4 linked regions of the Sus scrofa genome follow. The protein of the gene in region 1 interacts with the protein of each later gene in a pairwise test. Links are inferred from orthologs where the notes say so. Each region holds a gene or a part of one and is shown in the gene's direction. Other genes may lie near its edges.

The links. The genes of interacting proteins can lie anywhere in the genome.
Region 2: the proteins of RINT1 (region 1) and C2H19orf25 interact in binary tests that used the Homo sapiens proteins (3 or more experiments, as listed by UniProt). The link is inferred for Sus scrofa from reciprocal best matches to the Homo sapiens genes RINT1 and C19orf25.
Region 3: the proteins of RINT1 (region 1) and DCX interact in binary tests that used the Homo sapiens proteins (3 or more experiments, as listed by UniProt). The two-hybrid records come from large-scale screens. The link is inferred for Sus scrofa from reciprocal best matches to the Homo sapiens genes RINT1 and DCX.
Region 4: the proteins of RINT1 (region 1) and TXLNA interact in binary tests that used the Homo sapiens proteins (3 or more experiments, as listed by UniProt). The two-hybrid records come from large-scale screens. The link is inferred for Sus scrofa from reciprocal best matches to the Homo sapiens genes RINT1 and TXLNA.

What each region holds. Positions count from the first base shown.
Region 1 is NC_010451.4:105,391,384-105,396,096, forward strand, and holds the start of RINT1 (RAD50-interacting protein 1), read left to right. Parts: upstream 1-1,469; 5' UTR 1,470-1,626; coding exon 1,627-1,668; intron 1,669-1,986; coding exon 1,987-2,032; intron 2,033-4,713. UniProt on the Homo sapiens protein: Involved in regulation of membrane traffic between the Golgi and the endoplasmic reticulum (ER); the function is proposed to depend on its association in the NRZ complex which is believed to play a role in SNARE assembly at the ER.
Region 2 is NC_010444.4:76,997,058-77,001,906, forward strand, and holds the start of C2H19orf25 (UPF0449 protein C19orf25 homolog), read left to right. Parts: upstream 1-1,924; 5' UTR 1,925-2,179; coding exon 2,180-2,309; intron 2,310-4,550; coding exon 4,551-4,777; 3' UTR 4,778-4,849.
Region 3 is NC_010461.5:91,641,648-91,646,210, reverse strand, and holds the start of DCX (neuronal migration protein doublecortin), read left to right. Parts: upstream 1-1,638; 5' UTR 1,639-1,792; intron 1,793-4,190; exon of another isoform or gene 4,191-4,249; intron 4,250-4,563. UniProt on the Homo sapiens protein: Microtubule-associated protein required for initial steps of neuronal dispersion and cortex lamination during cerebral cortex development. May act by competing with the putative neuronal protein kinase DCLK1 in binding to a target protein.
Region 4 is NC_010448.4:88,658,257-88,662,975, forward strand, and holds the start of TXLNA (alpha-taxilin), read left to right. Parts: upstream 1-1,794; 5' UTR 1,795-1,949; intron 1,950-2,180; exon of another isoform or gene 2,181-2,247; intron 2,248-2,485; 5' UTR 2,486-2,517; coding exon 2,518-2,695; intron 2,696-3,522; coding exon 3,523-3,852; intron 3,853-4,719. UniProt on the Homo sapiens protein: May be involved in intracellular vesicle traffic and potentially in calcium-dependent exocytosis in neuroendocrine cells.

The sequences.
Region 1 (4,713 bases):
CCAACCCCACCACTACCACACTTGCCTTTCTTTTATTTTATCCGTCCAATATGGTTACATTGTACTTTGGCTGCCCTGACATTGTGTCTGTAAGGATGCAAGTTCAATACCTGGCCTCACTCGGTGGGTTAAGATCTGACTCCCTGGCCTGGGAACTCCATATGCTCCATATGCTCAATGGGTTAAGGATCCAGATTTGCCCTGAGCTGTGGTGTAGGTCGTAGATGCGGCTCGGACTCTGTGTTGCTGTGACTGTGGTGTAGGCCAGTGGCTATAGCTCCATTTTGATCCTAGCCTGGGAACCTCCATATGCCTTAGGCGCAGCCCTAAAAGACAAAAAAATAAAATAAGGAGTGCCTGTCATGGCTCAGTGGTTAAGGAACCCGACTAGTACCCATGAGAACGGGATTTGATCCCTGGCCTTGCTCAGTGACTTAAGGATCCGGGTTGCCGTGAGCTGTGGTGTAGGTCACAGATGTGGCTTGGATCCCGTGTTGCTATGGCTGTGGCGTAGGCCAGCGGCTACAGCTTCGATTGGACCCCTAGCCTGGGAACCACCATATGCTGTGGGTGTGGCCCGAAAAAGACAAAATAAAAATAAAATAAAATAAAATAGTAGACTGTTGGAGTTCCCTGGTTGCTCAGTGGGATAAGGATCCGGCCTTGTCACTGCTGTGGCTCCGGTTACTGCTATGGTGAGTTCAATCCCTAGCCGGGGAATTACCGTTATTGTGGCCAAAAAGTAAAAACAAAATAGTAGCTCGTGATTGTTTTATAGTCGCAGTGGCGTCATATCTCAGGACATAAATAAATAAATACAATGTTCTCATTGAATCGGTTCTGTTTTCTCTAAGGGTTGCTTTTTCTCCCTTTCTCTGTTAGTTTTAGTCTCAATGGTACCACTTTACATGTTTATTTTTGAAGTTGTCGCATCCCTGAATTCTCTACCTATATCATGCTGCCAGTCCTGGTCCTCCTCCCTGGCAAAGTACAGACTTTGATCTGAAGTATATATTAGATGCTGAGTCCTTTCCCTCTGTTCTGCTCCCAGAATGTTTACAATCAGATCTGCACCCTTCAGGTAGGAAGTTGAAGTGTAACTTGTAGTTAAATCTGATTAGCTTTAAAAGAATGATCCAAAGATACTGACATTGGAAATTATGCGATTAAACCACCCAACCAAATTACATTACTACTTGTCAACAAGCTCCCTCACACTCTCAGAACATCTGGGATATCCTCTAAAATATAAGTTGAAATGATTCATAATGAATTTACAGTGTGGAAGGAAGGATACTTTGAATCTCCATCATTAATGTTTCCAAAGCAGTGAAGGAGGTTTTACTTAGAATGACAAGGACTGCCTTTGCTCGCCCCCTTTTCTTCTTCCAGAGCGTCCGATCCGGATCCAAGCCGGCAGGGGGCGCCACCGCGCAAGACCGGCAACTGCGCGAGAAGGGCCTCTCTGGAAAGAAAGGAAGAAACCAGAGAGACGGCAGAGGAAGTTGCCGTGGCGTCCAACGCTAAGGTCTCGAAAGGTTCAGCCGCTGTCTAGCCGCTGGCCGGAGCCAGGGTCCACTGACCACGCTGGCTGCACATGGAACCGAGGACTCGCGCGGAGGCAGGATGCTCCCGGCCAGCGAGATCGGCGAAGCGCCAGCAACCCCGGTGAGGGGGCCCTAGTGGCCGCGGGAGGGGACACTGGTGGCCCAGTGAGGTGGCATAGACCTCTCAGGAGAGGTAATCCCAATGCAGTGGCTGTGGCGATACCGATGAGATGACACAGATCTTTCTGGGGAGGTGGCTGTGGTGGCCTCAAGGAGCTAGCCCTTTTTGGAACCTGCATCAGATCGCACCTCAGGAAGTCTCCAGGGGGGAGGGGTCTGGAACCTTGGGGTCCTCCCGTGGATGCCCTCTGGGAACCCTGTATGAATTTCACTTATTGCTTCAGTCTTAATGTGTTTGTCACACCTGCTCTCCTTCTAGTGCTGTTCTGAAAATGGTGACCAAAGGAAGGATGTCAAGGACAAAAGTAAGCAGACTCCGAACGCCTTTGCACTTTCCACTCAGCATTTCTCCAAAATTCAGTCCTGCAGGGTCTACATCCAAGAAGGATGGTACCTTGTTATTTTTTAGATGAAGCACCTTTTTTTTTTTTTTTATTTCCGTAGAGTATCCTTTCCTAGTATTAAATACTGATTATTATCATACATATATTTTTGGCTTTCAGGATTGTACAATATGGGATGATTTGGAGAAGAAGGCTTCCTGACTCCTACCTAGTGCAGGAACTGGTGGAGTCTCACTCAATACTGGACTTAAATTAGTTGGGAACTGCCTGTTATTGCAATGAAGCATCAACTTAATAAGCATCACGAGTTAGAACGGGCTGATGATCTAGGAGAGATAACCTCCACCTGTGTTGGGTTTAAAGGAGTCAAATGATAACTTTTCCTATTGGCTTGCCTTTAATTAGACTTAGCCCATATGCTTTTACAAGTGGAATCAATCAGAGGACAAGCGTGTAGGGGAATAATTTTTCAGTACTTGCCTTGTAAACTCAAATTCTTCTTTGAGGGAGGTCTTTGGTGGCCTAGATCTCTGGTTAGGACTCAGTGCTTTCACTGCTGCAGCCCAGGTTTGATCCCTGGTCTGGGAACTGAGATCCCACATCAGGCTGCTGCACTTGGCAGCCCCCCAGGCCCAAAAGAATCTGGTAGTAAAATTAAAAACAAATTGTTTGGAGTAAATCAAGCATTTACTGTTCACAGGGTTTTTTGTGAGTTGCAAAATATTTTTCCCAGTATCCCCCCATTCATTCTCTGTTACCACCATCAGACAGAAAGGGTGAGGACACTTTTTTCTTGCCTCTGTAGGGGATACCTTAGCAGCAGATGGTAACTGCTCCAGGCCTGTCAAATAGATGCCTTCAAATGATAATTAGTTATACTCTATCTTCAGTGAATTAGCACATAAAAGTTGATTTGGGAAGGGCACAACAGACAACTTGGTTCCTGGTTCTTGAACTGAACCCAGAAGAAGGAAAGATCATTATTTCCATTTCCTACCTAAGATAAAAGCATATATATGCCAGGGATGTAGACATGTGCCATTTTATTTTAATGAGCTAGGCATGGCACACTGGTGGAAATCAAGGAATATTCAGGGGCCTTTGGAGGGAAATTTACTGGGAGAGGAAGAGGGAAGCATGTAACAGCTGTTTCATCAGAGTGTTTTGGTTCTTCTGGCCGTGGCACATAGCCTGGGAATGAATAGTAATAGAAAGGGTGCCTAAGTTACCATATTAGTTTTAGGGGTTAGACCTGCCCTTAACATTGCCTCCTGCTACAGTCTGCCTCAGAAAGAAAGCTTTAACTACTTCATAGTGCTTGCCAGTCACAGCTGCCACAACTCAGCTCCTTTTCCTTAAAGGATTTGAGAGTACCTCCTGTACCTCTCTCAATTAAACACTTTCTTTTTCTTTTTTTTTTTTTTTTTGTCTTTTTGCTATTTCTTTGGGCCGCTCCCTCGGCATATGGAGGTTCCCAGGCTAGGGGTCTAATCAGAGCTGCAGCCACCGGCCTACGCCAGAGCCACAGCAACTCGGGATCCGAGCCGCGTGTGCAACCTACACCACAGCTCACGGCAACGCCGGATCGTTAACCCACTGAGCAAGGCCAGGGACCGAACCCGCAACCTCATGGTTCCTAGTCGGATTCGTTAACCACTGCGCCACGATGGGAACTCCCAACACTTTATTTTTCTACCTTTGCCCCACTCATATGTTTGGGAAGTTGATGCCATTAAGCTGTGGACTTTGTCCTTGACCTTCCTTTGGTGGCTTGGTCAACTTCTTTGCAATTAGAAGTGCTCCTTACAAAAAACAGGAAAAGAGACATCACCCCTACGCCATCAGCAGTGTGTCATTTTGAAGAATGTCATTTGACTAAGACTGTACTATGCTACATTTAAATGGTTAAATCAAAAGAATATAATTTTTACTTTTTTATTTTTTAAAGTATAGTGCCACTTTCTGTCTTACAGGAAAATGACCCAGTTATACATTCCTATACAGTAGGACCTTATTTCTTTTCCATTCTAAGTGTAACAGTTTGCATCTACTAACCCAAAACTCCCAGTCTATCCCACTCCCTCCCTCTCCTCCTTGGCAAGCACAAGTCTGTTCTCTATGGTCTGTGAGTCTGTTTCTGTTCTGTGTATAGGTTCATTTGTGCCATTTTTTGGGGGGGGGGCTGTTGAAAAAGAGCTGCACCTGCAGCATATGAAAATTCCCAGGTTAGGGGTCAAATTGGAGCTGTAGCCGCCAGCCTATGCCACAGCTACAGCAACGCCAGATCCTTAATCCCCTGAGTTAGGCCAGGGATTGAACCCGAAACCTCATGATTACTAGTCGGATTTGTTTCCATTGCGCCACAGTGGGAACTCCCTTACCATTCTTCTTAAGGAGGTTCCACATCACCTGTTTTTGTCACATTTAGTAAGTCCAGTGTGAATTGGCCCAACTCTAGTTTCTTTGCTGTGGAACCTTTCCCTTTCTCCCTTCCTTCCTTCCTTCATTTCTTTTGTTTTTTGGGACCTCCCCATGGCATATGGGAGTTCGAAGGCTAGGGGTCAAGTTGAAGCTGTACCTGCTTGCCTACACCATAGCCACAGCAACAGCAACGTGGGATCCAAGCCGCGTCTGCAACCTAC
Region 2 (4,849 bases), on another chromosome or scaffold:
AGTGCAGGGAGGGTAAGGATGGAAAAGGGTGTTTATGGAACTATTAAGAGTCTCTACTCTGGCAGTTCCCATCATGGCTCAAGGGAAACGAATCTAACTAGTATTCATGAGGACACAGGTTCAGTCCCTGGCCTCCCGCATTGGGTTAAGAATCTGGCTGTGGTTGCCATGAGCTTTGGTGTAGGTTGCAGATGTGGCTTGGATCTGGCATTGCTGTGGCTGTGGCGTGTAGGCCAGTGGCTACAGCTTTGATTTGACCCCTAGCCTGGGAACATCTGTATGCTGTAGGTGCGGCCCTAAAAAGACCAAAAAAAAAAAAAAAAAAAGTATCTAGTCTGTCCTCACATACATCAATAGGGTGGCAACCTGTTCCTTCTGATTTTCAGAGCCGTAAGGTGGTTTCCACAAAGGAGTGGAGGCTGGTTTTGCCTTGACCATGGGCTTCACTTGGACTCCAAGGGGGTAGTCCTGGTTTGTAGCAGGAGTCCAGACACACACCCTTCCAGTGCCCCTGGTCATCTGAGAATCTGCTTGGCTACCAGGCTTGGGTTGGGCAGCCTCAAGCCTTCAAGGGACTCAGGTTCTGTCTAGGGCTGCAGCTGGACCCACTGGAAGCAGGAGGTGGGTAAGGGAGGAGACAGCCATCTGCTCTCCTAGACCTGCCTGCATGCCTAGAGTCCCACCCAGCTCTGCCCAGCTCTGGAGTTAGGCCTGAAGTGGTGTCTGGCTCTGCAAATCCAGGCTGCGTGTCCAGAGGCACCTGGCTGCCTTCTCAGAGCCTCCGTAGCCATCCTGTGCAGCAGCATGAAGTCTGGCACCTGCCTCACCAAATACTCTTGAGGGTCAAGAGGTAATTTTCCCACCTGGCACACAGTAAATGCCCAAAACATGCCAGCTTGGGGCAGTCACTTTGGGAAATAGGTCCATAGTCAGTTAAACATAGAGTTACCATATGACCTAACAGTTCTGCTCCTAAGTATGTACCCAAGAAAACTAAAGACACATTCACACAACACTTGTAAGAATGTTCACAGCAGCATGATTCACAGCAGACAAAATATGGAAACAACATTGTTGGATGATGGGCAAACATTATATGGTCCCTTCATGCACAGGAGCATCCCTCAGTCATGAAAGAGAGAGAAGCACCGACACTGGCTGCCATGTGAACGGACCTTGAGACCACGATGCTCAGAGAAAGGCACACTTGTGTGATTCCATGAATGTGATACGCCAAGAACAGACAAATTCATAAACATAGTGGATTGTTAAGGGATGGGGTGATGAGGATGAGGGAATGTTCTGGCTTTAGACTGCGGTGATGGTTGCACAACTTCTCTGTCTTTCTGTCTGTCTCTCTCCTATATATATTCCAAAACCATTGAATTGTACACTTTAAGCAGGTGGACTTTATAGTATGTAAATTATATAAAGCTGTTTAAAAACGCCCTCCTTGGGCTCTGTGGTGGTCTTCAGTCCTAGCCAAGAGGCGGGGGCCAAGATCACCCTCCAGAGCTACGGCCCCACCCAGGTAGGGAGGGGGTTTTAGACAAGGGAGAGGCAACCTTGAGAGGGATCCCGGAGGTTGGCCACCTCGCTGGGAACTGGTGGCCCGCTACGTGGTGAGAGACTGCACCGTAAATTTGTTGCTACGACAGCCACGTAGATTGAGGACTGCGTCTCCCTTTTGCAAAAAACCGGGCTTCAGATGCTTTGTTAGGCAGAGAGAAGAGCCGGGAACAGGACCCTGCGCCCACCCCTCGGGGGAGAGGCTGAAGTCTCATCCTTTCTGGTTCTGGTCCAATCGTTTCTTCGATCGCACCAGAACCCTGGAGGGAGCGGCCTCTTTAAGGGGGCGTGGCTTTCACGAGCCGGGGAGGATCCGGCCGGAAGCGTGTGTCTCTTGCGAGTAGGGTGGGACTGTACCGTGACCGGAAGCGGAAATGGTCGGTCGGCCGCGGAGGCGGTGCAGGTGAGTTGGCGCTGGCGGCAGCAGCCTCAGCGGGAAACTGAGGCTTGAGTGAAGGGGAACGCTGAAGCCCCTGGCTCCGTGTTGTTCAGCCCTTGGGAGGATCAGGGCAGGAAGGGCTTCGCCAGGAGCGGGGAACTGGAGCGTGTGTAGAAATTCGTTGGGCGCGAGGAACAACCCCGTCAACACTTCCTTCTCCGGTCTACCGGGATGAGCTCCAAGACCAAGAAGCGCGTGGTGCTGCCCACCCGCCCGGCGCCCCCTACAGTGGAGCAGATCTTGGAGGACGTGCGGGGGGCCCCTGCCGAGGACCCCGTCTTCACCGCTCTGGCTCCTGAAGGTAGGGGAGAGGCGACCCCGAGAGGCCAGCAGGAAGGGGTGGGGAAAAGTACCTGGCTGCTTTTAAGACAGAAGGGCAGAGTTCAGTATTCAGGACAGAAATTATCTAGCCCTGAAATGCCAAAAATACTTGCATCTGGCCTTTTGCAGAAAAAGTGTGTCCGCCCCTGTTCAGAAGATGGAAGCAGATCCGTGACTTCAGGGTTGGGCATACAGTTGTAGGGTGAATTTTGTGTTCTGCTCTATGAGGTTCATTATTCATTCAACAAACTTTCATTGAGGAGTGACCCCTCGTGGTTCAGCGGTTAACGAACCCAACTAGGATCCATGAGGATGCCGGTTTGATCCTTGGCCTCGTTCAGTGGATTAAGGATCCGGCGTTGCTGTGAGTTGCAGTGTAGGTCGCAGACGCAGCTCGGATCCTGTGTTGCTGTGGCTGTGAGGTAGGAGGGCAGCTGCAGCTCAGATTTGACCCTTAACCTGGGGACTTCCATATGACACGAGTGAGGCCCTTAAAAAAAAAAAAAAAAGCAAAGAAACAAACCTTCATTGAGACCGTATTATGGGCCGGAATCTGTTCTAAGCACTGAGGTGGAAAAACGAACAAAAAGATTAAAGTGTCTGCCTTGCTCCATTCTAGTGGGTATTGACATTCAGTATAAGGCTTGTGGGACTCTAGAAGATGAGAATAGGAGTTCTCGCTGTGGCACAGTGGGATAGGCAGTGTCTCTGCAGTGCCAAGACTCAAGTTTGATCCCTGGCCCAGCACAGCGGGTTAAAGGATTCTGCGTTGCCACAGCTAGGACATAGTAGCATCTGCAGCCTGGATCTGATCCCTGACCTGGGAACTTCCATATGCTACTGGTGTAGCCATTAAAAAAAAGAAAAAAATTCAGTTCTTTGTTACACGTGGCCACATTTCAAGTGCTCAGCAGCCCGCTTGTGCCAGCTGCTGCATTGGATAGCTACATTGGAGGATATTTCCATCACCTGGAATGTTGCGATTGAGAGGCCAGCCCAAGCAACAGGAGCCATGTTTATCCCTGGCTCACAGTTGGGTCATCGGAGGCTGCTTGAATCCCAGCCTTATGAATCACGGGTCCAGGAGTTCACGTCATGGCTCAGCGGTAACAAAGCTGACTAGCATCCATGAGGGTTCGGGTTCGATCCATGGCCTCACTCAGTGGATTAAGGATCCAGCATTGCTGTGATCTGTCCTGTAGGTTGCAGACATGGATGGTTTGGATCCTGTGTTGCTGTGGCTATGGCATAGGTTGACGGCTGCAGCTGCAATTCGACCCCTAGCCTGGGAACTTCCATATGCCACGAGTGCTGCCCTAAAAAAGCAAAAAAAAAAAAAAGGAAAGAAAAAAAAAAGAAATCATGGGTCCAGGTTCCCAGCATCCAGAGGTTGAGGGCATGAGGAATGGGCAGTGCCAGGGCTCACTCTAGGGAGAGGGGGCTTCTCTGCTGGCCTGTGTTCCTGTCAAGGACCATCCTTGGCCTCCATGTGCACTGTCTGGCCTGTCCTACCTTGTTACTAAAGCAGGTGATAAAGTGATTTATTTTTACTTTTTTTAGGGCTGCACCTTTAGCAAATGGACATTCCTGGGTTAGGGATTATATTGGAGTTTGCAGCTGCTGGCCTAGGCCACAGCCACAGTAATGTGGGATCTGAGCAGCATCTGCGACCTACACCACAGCTCACAGCAACGCCGGATCCTTAACCCACTGAGCAAGGCCAGGGATTGAACCCACACCCTCATGGATACTAGTTGGGCTCATTACTGCTATGCCACAATGGGAACTCTAATAAAGTGATTTTTAATCAAATTGCTGTTTCTGGGCCTGTTTATAGACAAGGGGACCAGGCAGAGCAGAGAGGACCTTGACATGTCTCCAAGTGGCCCTGAAATCTGTGCTTTTTTGTGCTCACTGCTCCTCCCCTGGCACACCCTTTAGGAAGCAGAGTCATTGGGAAATATATGTCTGTTCCCTCTTTGCCACCTCCCGACCCCCTGAGTGTCACACACAGCCACGGAGAGCACAGATGAGAGCCAGTCTGCTGTCAGCTTCAGGGTTACCAGAAGCTGGATAGAGCTCACCCCTAGGCAGGGCCGTGGGATGGTGAAGTCAGGCCTCCTCTGTGACTTGTCCCCTCCAGTTCATTGCTTTCTTTGGGGGGTGAATTGGGTCCTCTCTGTGACCTGGGGGCAGTGATGCTGCCTTGTCCTGTCCCCAGATTCCCCAGGCCCCTCTTGGAGGGCTGAAGATGCTGAGGCCCAGCGAGAGCAGCTCTACCAGCAGAGTCGGGACTACGTGGCCACAAACCAGAGGCTGCGTCAGGCGGGGGCCCAGCTGAAGCAGAAGTGTGAGGGGCTGCGGCAAGCCGGCGAGGACCTGGAACTGGATGTCAGCCAGGTGGGGCAGGTGGCTCTGCCGGGTGCTGTGGTTGCCTCCTCGGGCTGACCTGGTTCAAAGGCTCAACTGGGTAGCACCCCCCCACCCCTCGCCCCTGGCTCTCTGGAACCTTGGTCCTTG
Region 3 (4,563 bases), on another chromosome or scaffold:
ATTTCTTAATAACCAATCCAACAAATTAGCTGCCTGAACATTCCTGCAGATCTAAGCCCAAATACTAATTTCAACTGACAACTCTTTACACATGTCATTGCACAAATTATTTCGCCTCTCTGTGTTTAGAGTTTGACTGTAAACCTGGGCTTCAGCGATTGATTTCCCATCCCGCAATCACTCAGAAACGATAAATTCTCTCCACGAATGAATGTTCTCAGTTGTTAGACTGAAATCGGTGTTACACTCAGAAGGACTAAAGTGAGTTTCACTAGTGATTTTATTTTACGTCACAAAGGTTCAAATCGCTGTTCTTAGTTATTTTCTATCAAAAACCAAACCGGGCGATTCTAAGGCCCTTTACCTGCGTGGCTAATAACAAGATCTGCTTTCTGAAGGTCTTCTTTCAATGAATCCTTGTACCTGTAAACATCCAGAGTAAATGACTCAGTACTGAATGGTTCAGGTACCACCTTTCCTCTACCTATTTGTAGGACAAGTCGGTTGTAACCAAGGCTCTTGATTATCTGAAACGGGAAAAAAGAAAAAGGGACCCTTTTAAAACAGGCGACTGTAAAAACAGCAACTATGGCAACCAACTCCAAAATCGGAGCACGGGCGGCCAAAGAGTCGAACTGGAGCCGAAGTGTTAGTTTTCCTTCTTCCCCGATTCCGGGCCCGACAGGGCACCTCGCTAGCCCTGAGGGATCTAGACGCCCCAGCTCACCACATCGTGAGAGAAATGGGCCCGCAAGAACTAAGAGACCAGGCAAAGGCTCTGAAAAAGGTGTCGCGAGCTAGGGGGAGACCAAGGAACAGCTTCGTCGTGGTCCCACAGATGGAACTGCGCGAACCTCACGCCCTGAGAGGGCGCTGCGGGGATACCGGTCGCGAGGGCGCCTTAGGGAAGGAAAGGCGCCAGGGCCCGAACGCGGCGGGGCCGGACGAGGGCAGGACGGGGCGGCGCGCCAGGCTGAACTGGTCGGGCCGGGCCTGACGGAGCGCGTCGACCGCGCGGCCCCGAGCGGCCCTGAGGAGCGGCCGGCGAGGCGGGCAAGGGCCCGAGAGGCGGGTCGGAGCCCCGGCTCGGAGAGGCGGAGCCGCTAGAAGGAGGGGCGAAGCCGGAGGACGGAGAGGCGGAGGCGGAGAATCGGAGGGGAAAAGCCGGGGAAAAGGAGGAGCCGGAGAAAGGACGGGGAGGAGCGGCCCGGGAAGGCGGCGGGGAACGGGGAGAGGAGGCGGAGGACCCTGAGGAGCGGGGGAGTGGGAGGAGGGCCCAGCTGGGCGCGGGGAGGAGCCGGCCGAGGGGCGTCGGCACCTGAGGTCGAGCGGCTGGGGGTTCTTCCCGAGGACCGCGGTCAGGCAAGGTTACCGAGGTTAGCGGTCAGGCTGGCGGCGGCGGGCGGCGAGCAGCGAGCGGCGAGCGCAGCGCGGCGAGCCCAACCGCCGCCCGCCTGCCTCCCCCACTCACTTGCAGACTGTCGTGCGCCGATACACACGCAATCAGGTCGTCAAAGCTGGTGGTCCCTACAGTAACAAACACGCACTTCATCGCGCGGGTTCCGCAACCCCGAATCGCAAGGGCCGGATGTGACGTAGCAGAGCCACGCGGGCTGCCGCGGCAGCGCTGGGTGTGGGAGGCGGAAGTCGGCCCCAGCCGCCAGGGGGCAACGGGAACCCGGCCTGTGTTGCCGGGAATGGGAGGGGGCCAAAGACTGCTAATGGCCTACGTGCAGGCTACTGTTGTAAGCCCTTTGCGTGTAGAAGCTCACGGGACCCTCACAGTAAGGAGGTGGGCAATTGACAAATGTATTGTTTTTCAAAAGTGGGGGTTAAAACAAATAGTAGTGAAGCCTTACACCTTTGTGTTTGCATCCTTGCTCGAGTACCACAGATCTTTTAATGGTAGAGAAGTTTGGGATTCTTTTTTGGCTACCGTGTTTTGCCAAGATAACGTTTTACTTCAAGTCTGTGAAGGGCATCGGGAAAAAAAGAAGTGCCTTTTCAAAATCGCTCATTAGCCTAGGCTCTTCTTCAACAGCAGTTTTCGAGAAACCACAGCCCTACAAAGTCTCTTGGAAACTGCAGAGAAACCGTAATTTCCATTTGCAAGCATTGTTTGTAAAATAGAGGCGTTAAGCCCTGAAGCCCACATTTGTGTCGTTGAACCAATCCATTTAACCATTTAAATAATAAAATTACCATAAATTTACATTCTAATGAATGTAAAATTATATATTAGCATGACTGAATACCTCATATACTTAGGTTTATGAAGTGAAATACAGGAGAGTTGATTTCTGAAGGCTCCCCTTCTTTCTCCTTGCACCATTGCTAAGATCATTGCCTGCTTTAGCTCATTCTAATGGTTTGTGTATTTCCTACTTAAAATCTCAGTTTAGCTAATATTTATGCTTTGCCCTGACTGGTTATACATGGAAGGGAAACTATGAGAAGAAATTCTTTTCAACACAGAGGATTGGTAGTGAGTTAGGCCTACAACATAGGCTAAAAAAAAGAACAAATATTAGTCATATTTCTAATGGGACTGTTAAATCTTGCATTTTGACTAATTGTCTTTTTGAGGGGTGGTATACTGCTGCCTCTTTCTTGATACCAAATTTCATGAATTAATGAAACTACAGTTTCATAATAACAACATAGATCATGGTTAAATAATAAAGCAAACATAATCATATTTTCTGCCCCAAAATAAGAGGAATAAAGAATGTTTATTGGAATATAAAGACAAAAATACTCAGTAATTTAGAAAGACTGCATCTGATATCTTTTCCCATATCTGAAAGATGTAAATTAAAGGAGCACTGTTCTGATTAGCTCAGAGAAAATAAGCACATATATAAATTGAATATTCTTAAATTCCCAGAAAATAAGAAAACTGAATTTCTGATGAACCAAGCCCCCCCTAAAATTGAGCTTCCTTACCAATTAATGATTTATCTCTCCTTCCCTGAAACTATTCCCTTGCTTGTCTCCTCTGATCTCAATTCCTTTCTTGTCCCCTCTGACCTCAATCCTGTTCTAGCTGAACCCTAATCAGCCAGAGTCAGACGACTAAAATTGCTATTGTTATATCATCATTAAGGTAAAAACTCAGGTAGTTTCTCCAAGGCAAGATGAGCTCACAGGCCTCCGAGCCAGACCACCTGGCCAGAGAATCCTAAACCAGAGACCTCTTGACTCCTGAAATCACGATAAAGGAATGTCACAAGACAATGATTAATTCCAGCTTCTTCTTCCCCTTTAAAACATCCCTAACTAAAAGACCAAGAAGGAGTGGATCTGAGACCTGTATTCCTCTCCTTTGCTTGGTGCCTTGCAAATGAACATTTACTTTGCTGCAAATACCCTCTGCCAAGTTTGGCTTTCTATGCCTCAAGCAGAGGAGCCCCTGCTTAGTTACATTGATACATTTAAAGTGCTAGACTTTAATAAAACATCTTGCAGAAACATTTTAAGAACCCAAGATGACATAATTGATGGAAAATTCTGGCGATTAAGTCTTTTCTCTGTTTGGCAGTGTTAAATATAATACAAGCATGCACAATCATGTATCATTTTCCTAAACTTATACAGCCTTACTAGTTAAATAAATTAATGTTACTTCTAAAAAAAGGTTTTTTTAAGGCCACACCTGCAGCTTATGGACGTGCCCAGGCTAAGGGTCAATCGGAGCTGCAGCTGCCGACCTTCACCACAGCCACAGCAACACCAAATTCAAACCTTGTCTGCAAGCTACACCACAGCTGGGGGCAATGCCAGATCCTTAACCCACTGAGTGAGGCCAGGGACTGAGGGCAGGAATCGAACTGGCATCTTCATGGATACTAGTCAGGTTCTTAACCCAATGAGCCACAATGGGAACTCCTAAAAATGTTTTTGATTATGAAAATGTAAATTTCTTTTAAAGTCATGTTGAATCAGCATTCTGACAAACTTTGTTTCAACAGTAACTATGTTTTATAGTAAGCCAGCTTGAAGATAATTTCCAAGATCTTTTAAGCACCTTTAAAAAGATTGTGTATTGGCATTAATTGAGTTAATTAATGTGTAATTGTTGCACAACTACTTTTTAAGTAAAATAGAATATTGAAACATTAGTTTAAGCATAATTATTTTTTAATCAATATAAATTTTTTTATTTTATGATTTTTATTTTTTCACTATAGTTTATTTACAGTGTTCTGCCAGTTTCTACTGTACAGCAGAGAGACCCAGTCATATATATGTATGTATATATTATTTTTCTCACATTATCCTCCATCATGTTCCATCATAAGTGTCTAGATATAATTCCCTGTGCTATACAGCAGGATCTCATTGCTTATCCACTCCAAATGCAATAGTTTACACCTATTAACCCTAGACTCCCAGTCCATCCCACTCCCTCCCCCTCCCCCTTGGCAACCACAAGTCTCTCCTCTAAGTCCATGAGTTTCTTTTCTGTGGAAAGTTTTATTTGTGCCATATATTAGAATCCAGATATAAGTGATATCATATGGTATTTGGCTTTCTGTTTCTGACTTAACTTCACTTAGTATG
Region 4 (4,719 bases), on another chromosome or scaffold:
GCTACAGCTCCAATTCAGCCTCTAGCCTGGGAACCTCCGTTTGCCGAGGGTGTGGCCCTAAAAGACAAAAAGAAAAAGAAAAGAAACGAAAACCTGATACTTCAAGTTAAGGAATTTAGCAGTTTTCTGTGTATGGGAAGATGCAAGAGTCTGGGCTTATTTCCTTTGATATGCAACTCAGCTAACTGGGGCCACTATCAGGTGCTTTTTCATCCTGAGTCTCCTCAGGGTGCTCTATGGGCTTGGGCGGGAGGGTGACTGCAGCACAGACTGCTAGATGGCAGGCAATTTGTTTCTACCCTGAGTTCCCCCAGGGCTCACCTTTGGGCAGCTGTAATGTGATGGCTTGATGGCTGCAACATCCTTTGTTTACTGATATGGCAGGTAACATTTTTTTCATCGACAATGGTATGGCACCTGCAAAAACCTGGGAAATCCTGGAAACAGTAAAAGTATAGCTGGAACAAAAAAGGCAGAGGGGGACGAAACATTGTAAATCAACTACGCTTTAATAATTTTTTTTAAAAGGCCAAGGGGATGAGGAGGATTGACAGGAAATAAAAGCAAAACCATTTAGGCATTAAATTTCAAGCACAGGAGTTCCTGTTGTGGCTCAGAGGTAAAGAATCCAACTAGCATCCATGAGGACACAGGTTCGATCCCTGGCCTCACTCAGTGGGTTAAGAATCTGGCATTGCCATGAGTTGCAGCGTAGGTCACAGATGTGGCTCGGGTCTGGCGTTGCTATGGCTGTGGTGCAGGCTGGCAGCCACTGCTCTGATTAGACCCCTAGCCTGGGAACTTCCATATGCCGCAGGTGCAGCCCTTAAAAAAAAAAAAAAAAAAAAAAAAAATCCAAGCACATAGGTTGCTGTGTTTTATTCTGTTGTCTACAGACAAATGGAAAAAGAATTGTGATTTCACATTTTGAGAAAAGCTTGGCTATTTTTCCCCTTTAGCACCAGTGCAACTGGGACTTGGTAGGAGTGGGCCAAAGAAAAGGCTCAGGAATCTGCTGAAACCAAACTTCCCCTTACAGGGCCTCAGCACCTTCCAAAGAGGGACTCAAGGTGGAAATGGGGATGGGAAATTAAGTATTTACTTTTCCAAGTTACCTTGACTCACCCTCAAGGAAAGCGCATCATGGTGATTATTTCTTCCTGAGTAAGAAGCAGGGTAGTCCAGTAGTTGAGATGGGTGCCAGACTTCCTGGCTTTGAAACTGCTCTAATCAGTCAATAGCTATGTGACCTTGGACAATCACCTAACAGGTGTAAATTGAGAGTAACAAATACTACAGTATTTATCTGGAGTAGTTACTGGGAAAGCTAGCATTCAAAGAACTACTGTTATTAAAATTTTCTATAGGAATACGGAAATCGAGGCTCTGGGAATGAAAAGAATGCCCGGTCACATAACAAATTAGTGATGAAATTAGGACTGGAAGGAATACAGATCTGATGTCCAGCACCGTATTTTATCCCTCGTCCTCAGAGTTCCTAGATAGTCACAGATATCCTCAGCAGGAGGGAAGGACGGGGTTGAGGTGTGCGGGGAAAAAGCAGCCAGGCGCAAGGCTCTGGGAGCTGAATCATAACTTCTGCGTGATGGAAAGGAGGTTGACGTGAGTACCAGTGCAGAATGACTGGCTGCTTTCGGACCTCCTGGGTCTGGGCTCCAAGAACGAAAGCCCTGTTGCAGCTTGGGAGTCGGGATCAGCCCGGTGCATGGAGGGACATGTAGTCCTTTCTGTCCCTCCACCCCCCCACTCCGCCTTCCCAACTCACCCGCCTCAGAGGCCGCCTTCGCTTCAACTTTCCCAGCAAGCCCCGCGAGAGCGCGGGCTATTGATTGGCCGCGGCGCGAGCAGGCGGCTCTGCCGGCAGCAGTTACCCAGGGTTTCCGGTGAGAGGCCAGAGCAGGAGAAGCCGTCGGGACGTCGGCGGTGGGGTGCGTATTGCGTCGGTTAGGGGTACAAGGCAAGCAGAGGGCCCGGGGCCCGACGCCTTCGGACGGTTCAGGGAATTACGCCGATTCCGCACGAGGACTCGGGCTGGAGTGCAGGGGCCGAGGCCTGTGCGCATGCGCGGGCGGAGCGCGCGGCTGGAGGGCGCGCGGGGCGTGGGTGGCTGCGCGCGCGCGCGGGGGGGTGGGCACACGTGGGGCCTGGGGGGCGGGGAGGAACCGGGAATCCAGCGTCCCGCCACGTCAGTCCCTGGGCCTGAGCCTGTCCGGCGCACGGGCTGTGGTGAGAGGGCTGGGTTGTGCCGGGGAAGTAGCTTCGGGGAAAAAGGAGGCCTCCTCTCCCCTGCTGTTGGGCACACCAGACTTCCCTGACCGACCAGAGATAGGGAGCCCCACTGGCTCCCATCCGAGGAAGGCCGGTCGGTTTAAGAAGCTTTGCGGGTCCGGTGTGGAGATATCAGATCCAGGCTGCGAAGAATTGTTTAAAGTCTGGAAAATAGCAAGTGTATTTGTTTCTATAGGTTCTGCTCATAACCTAACGTTGCAAACAACAATGAAGAACCAAGACAAAAAGAATGGGGCTGCCAAGCAATCTGGCCACACTTCCAACCCCAAAAACACCCCGGGGCAACCGGAAGCAGGACCAGAGGGAGGCCAGGGGCGGCCCAGCCAGTCTGCTCCCACGACAGAAGCTGAAGGTTCCACCAGCCAGGCTCCAGGGAAGGCTGAGGGTGTGTGCCAGCTCTGCTTTTCCAATGGGCAGGGGGAGGAGTTTATGGTGCGTCAGTCTAGCTTCTGGGGTTAGAAGCCAAGGCCACTGTTTATCCAGAAGGGAGGAAATGTAGAATGAGGGGAGGACACCACTGAGTCCTTGAGTGCCCACTCTGCGCTGGGGAGTTGATAGAGCCTCCCACCCTAAGCACAGGGACAGAACTCTCCTGAGAGAAGCTTCTGACAGGATTAAGTCAGGTTGGCAGTCAAATGAGGCACCCAACCAGCAAATCAAAAACACCACTTTCAGCAGTGGGTAACTGCTATTCCTATTTGAGGCATTTCTGGAACTTTTTTTTTTTTTTCTTTTTTTTCTGTTTCTTAGGGCCCCACCCTAGGCATATGGAGGTGCCCAGGCTCAAGTCGAATTGGAGCTACAGCTGCCAGCCTGCACCACAGTCACAGCAACACAGGATCCCTCACCTACTAAGTGAGGCCAAGGGTCGAACCTGAGTCTTCATGAATACTAGTCAGATTCGTTTCTGCTGCACCACAACGGGAACTCTTGGAACTTTTTTAATAGCAAGAAGTGACATTTGCAGGTGGACTAGACCTTGAGTTCCTGCTACATGATGCCACCTCTGTGTTGGGTGGTCTCCTTACTTGATTTCTCTTATAACAAGCATGGTTGGGCAGAGGTGAGAAATAGTTTTATCAGTAATAAAACTGAGGTTTAAAGAAGTTAGGTAACATTTAACCCAAACTAGTAAGTTTGGGCCTGAAAAAATCCCAGCCAGTGGCATAATGGTCTTATTTCTGACTCTGCCCCTCATCCCTCCTGCTGCAGGAGCACAAGCCAAAACTGGGGCCCTCCGTGATGTCTCAGAGGAGTTGAGCCGCCAATTGGAAGACATCCTCAGTACATACTGTATAGACAACAATCAGGGGGGCCCAGGCGAAGATGGGGCACAGGGTGAGCCTGGTGAACCTGAAGATGCAGAGAAGTCCCGGACCTATGCCTCAAGGAATGGGGAGCCTGAGCCAGAGACCCCAGTAGTCAATGGTGAGAAGGAGCCCTCCAAGGGGGAGCCGGGCGCAGACGAGATCCGGGCAAGTGACGAGGTCGTAGACCGAGACCACCGAAGGCCCCAGGAAAAGAAGAAAGCCAAAGGTCTAGGTGAGCAGAGGGCAGCTGCTTATGAGGCTGGTGAGGGGAGGGAGTTTGAATCTGACATTCCTGGGTTAGCCTGCTGTGCCAGGATTTGGAGGAAACACTACTTCCAGAGCAGCTACTTACTTTTTGTTTTTGTTTTTTCTAATGTTTTTTTCATTCAGCGGGTTTATTACATTTATACCTGTACAACCATCATCACAACCTGATTTGAGAACATTTTCAACCTACATAGTTTAATGAGAGCAGGGGCTGCAGGACCATAGCATAGAGACGTGCAGGTTCACTGCACAAGGGCTTCTAGCCTGGGAGCAAGCGGGAACCGAAGTCTAACCTGCTCTCTTTGAGAAGATGGAAAGAAGGAGGCCTGAGTGGTCAGTCCTCTTCAGCCAGCACCACTTCTAACTTGCTGTGTGACCTTGGGCGAGACCTTTCTCCTCTCTGGTCCTTGGTTTTCACTTCTCTACACAATAAGAGAATTGGATTAGATGAGGTTGAAAACTCAAATAAAGCCAAGCTAGCCAGAGGCACCCATGAGGACCAAGAGAATGCCTGCTTTATTCAAAGGCTTGACTGCCACCTGGCCCCAGGTGAGACGATAGCATGGAAAACTACAGGCTAACTGTAGCTGGCATTTGTTTTTTGTTTTCTGTTTGGTTTTTTTTTTTTTTTTTTTTTTGTCTTTTGTCTTTTTGTTGTTGTTGTTGCTGCTATTTCTTGGGCCGCTCCCACGGCATATGGAGATTCCCAGGCTAGGGGTCGAATCGGAGCTGTAGCCACCGGCCTACGCCAGAGCCACAGCAACGGGGGATCCGAGCCGCGTCTGCAACCTACACCACAGCTCACGGCAACGCCGGATCGTTAACCCACTGA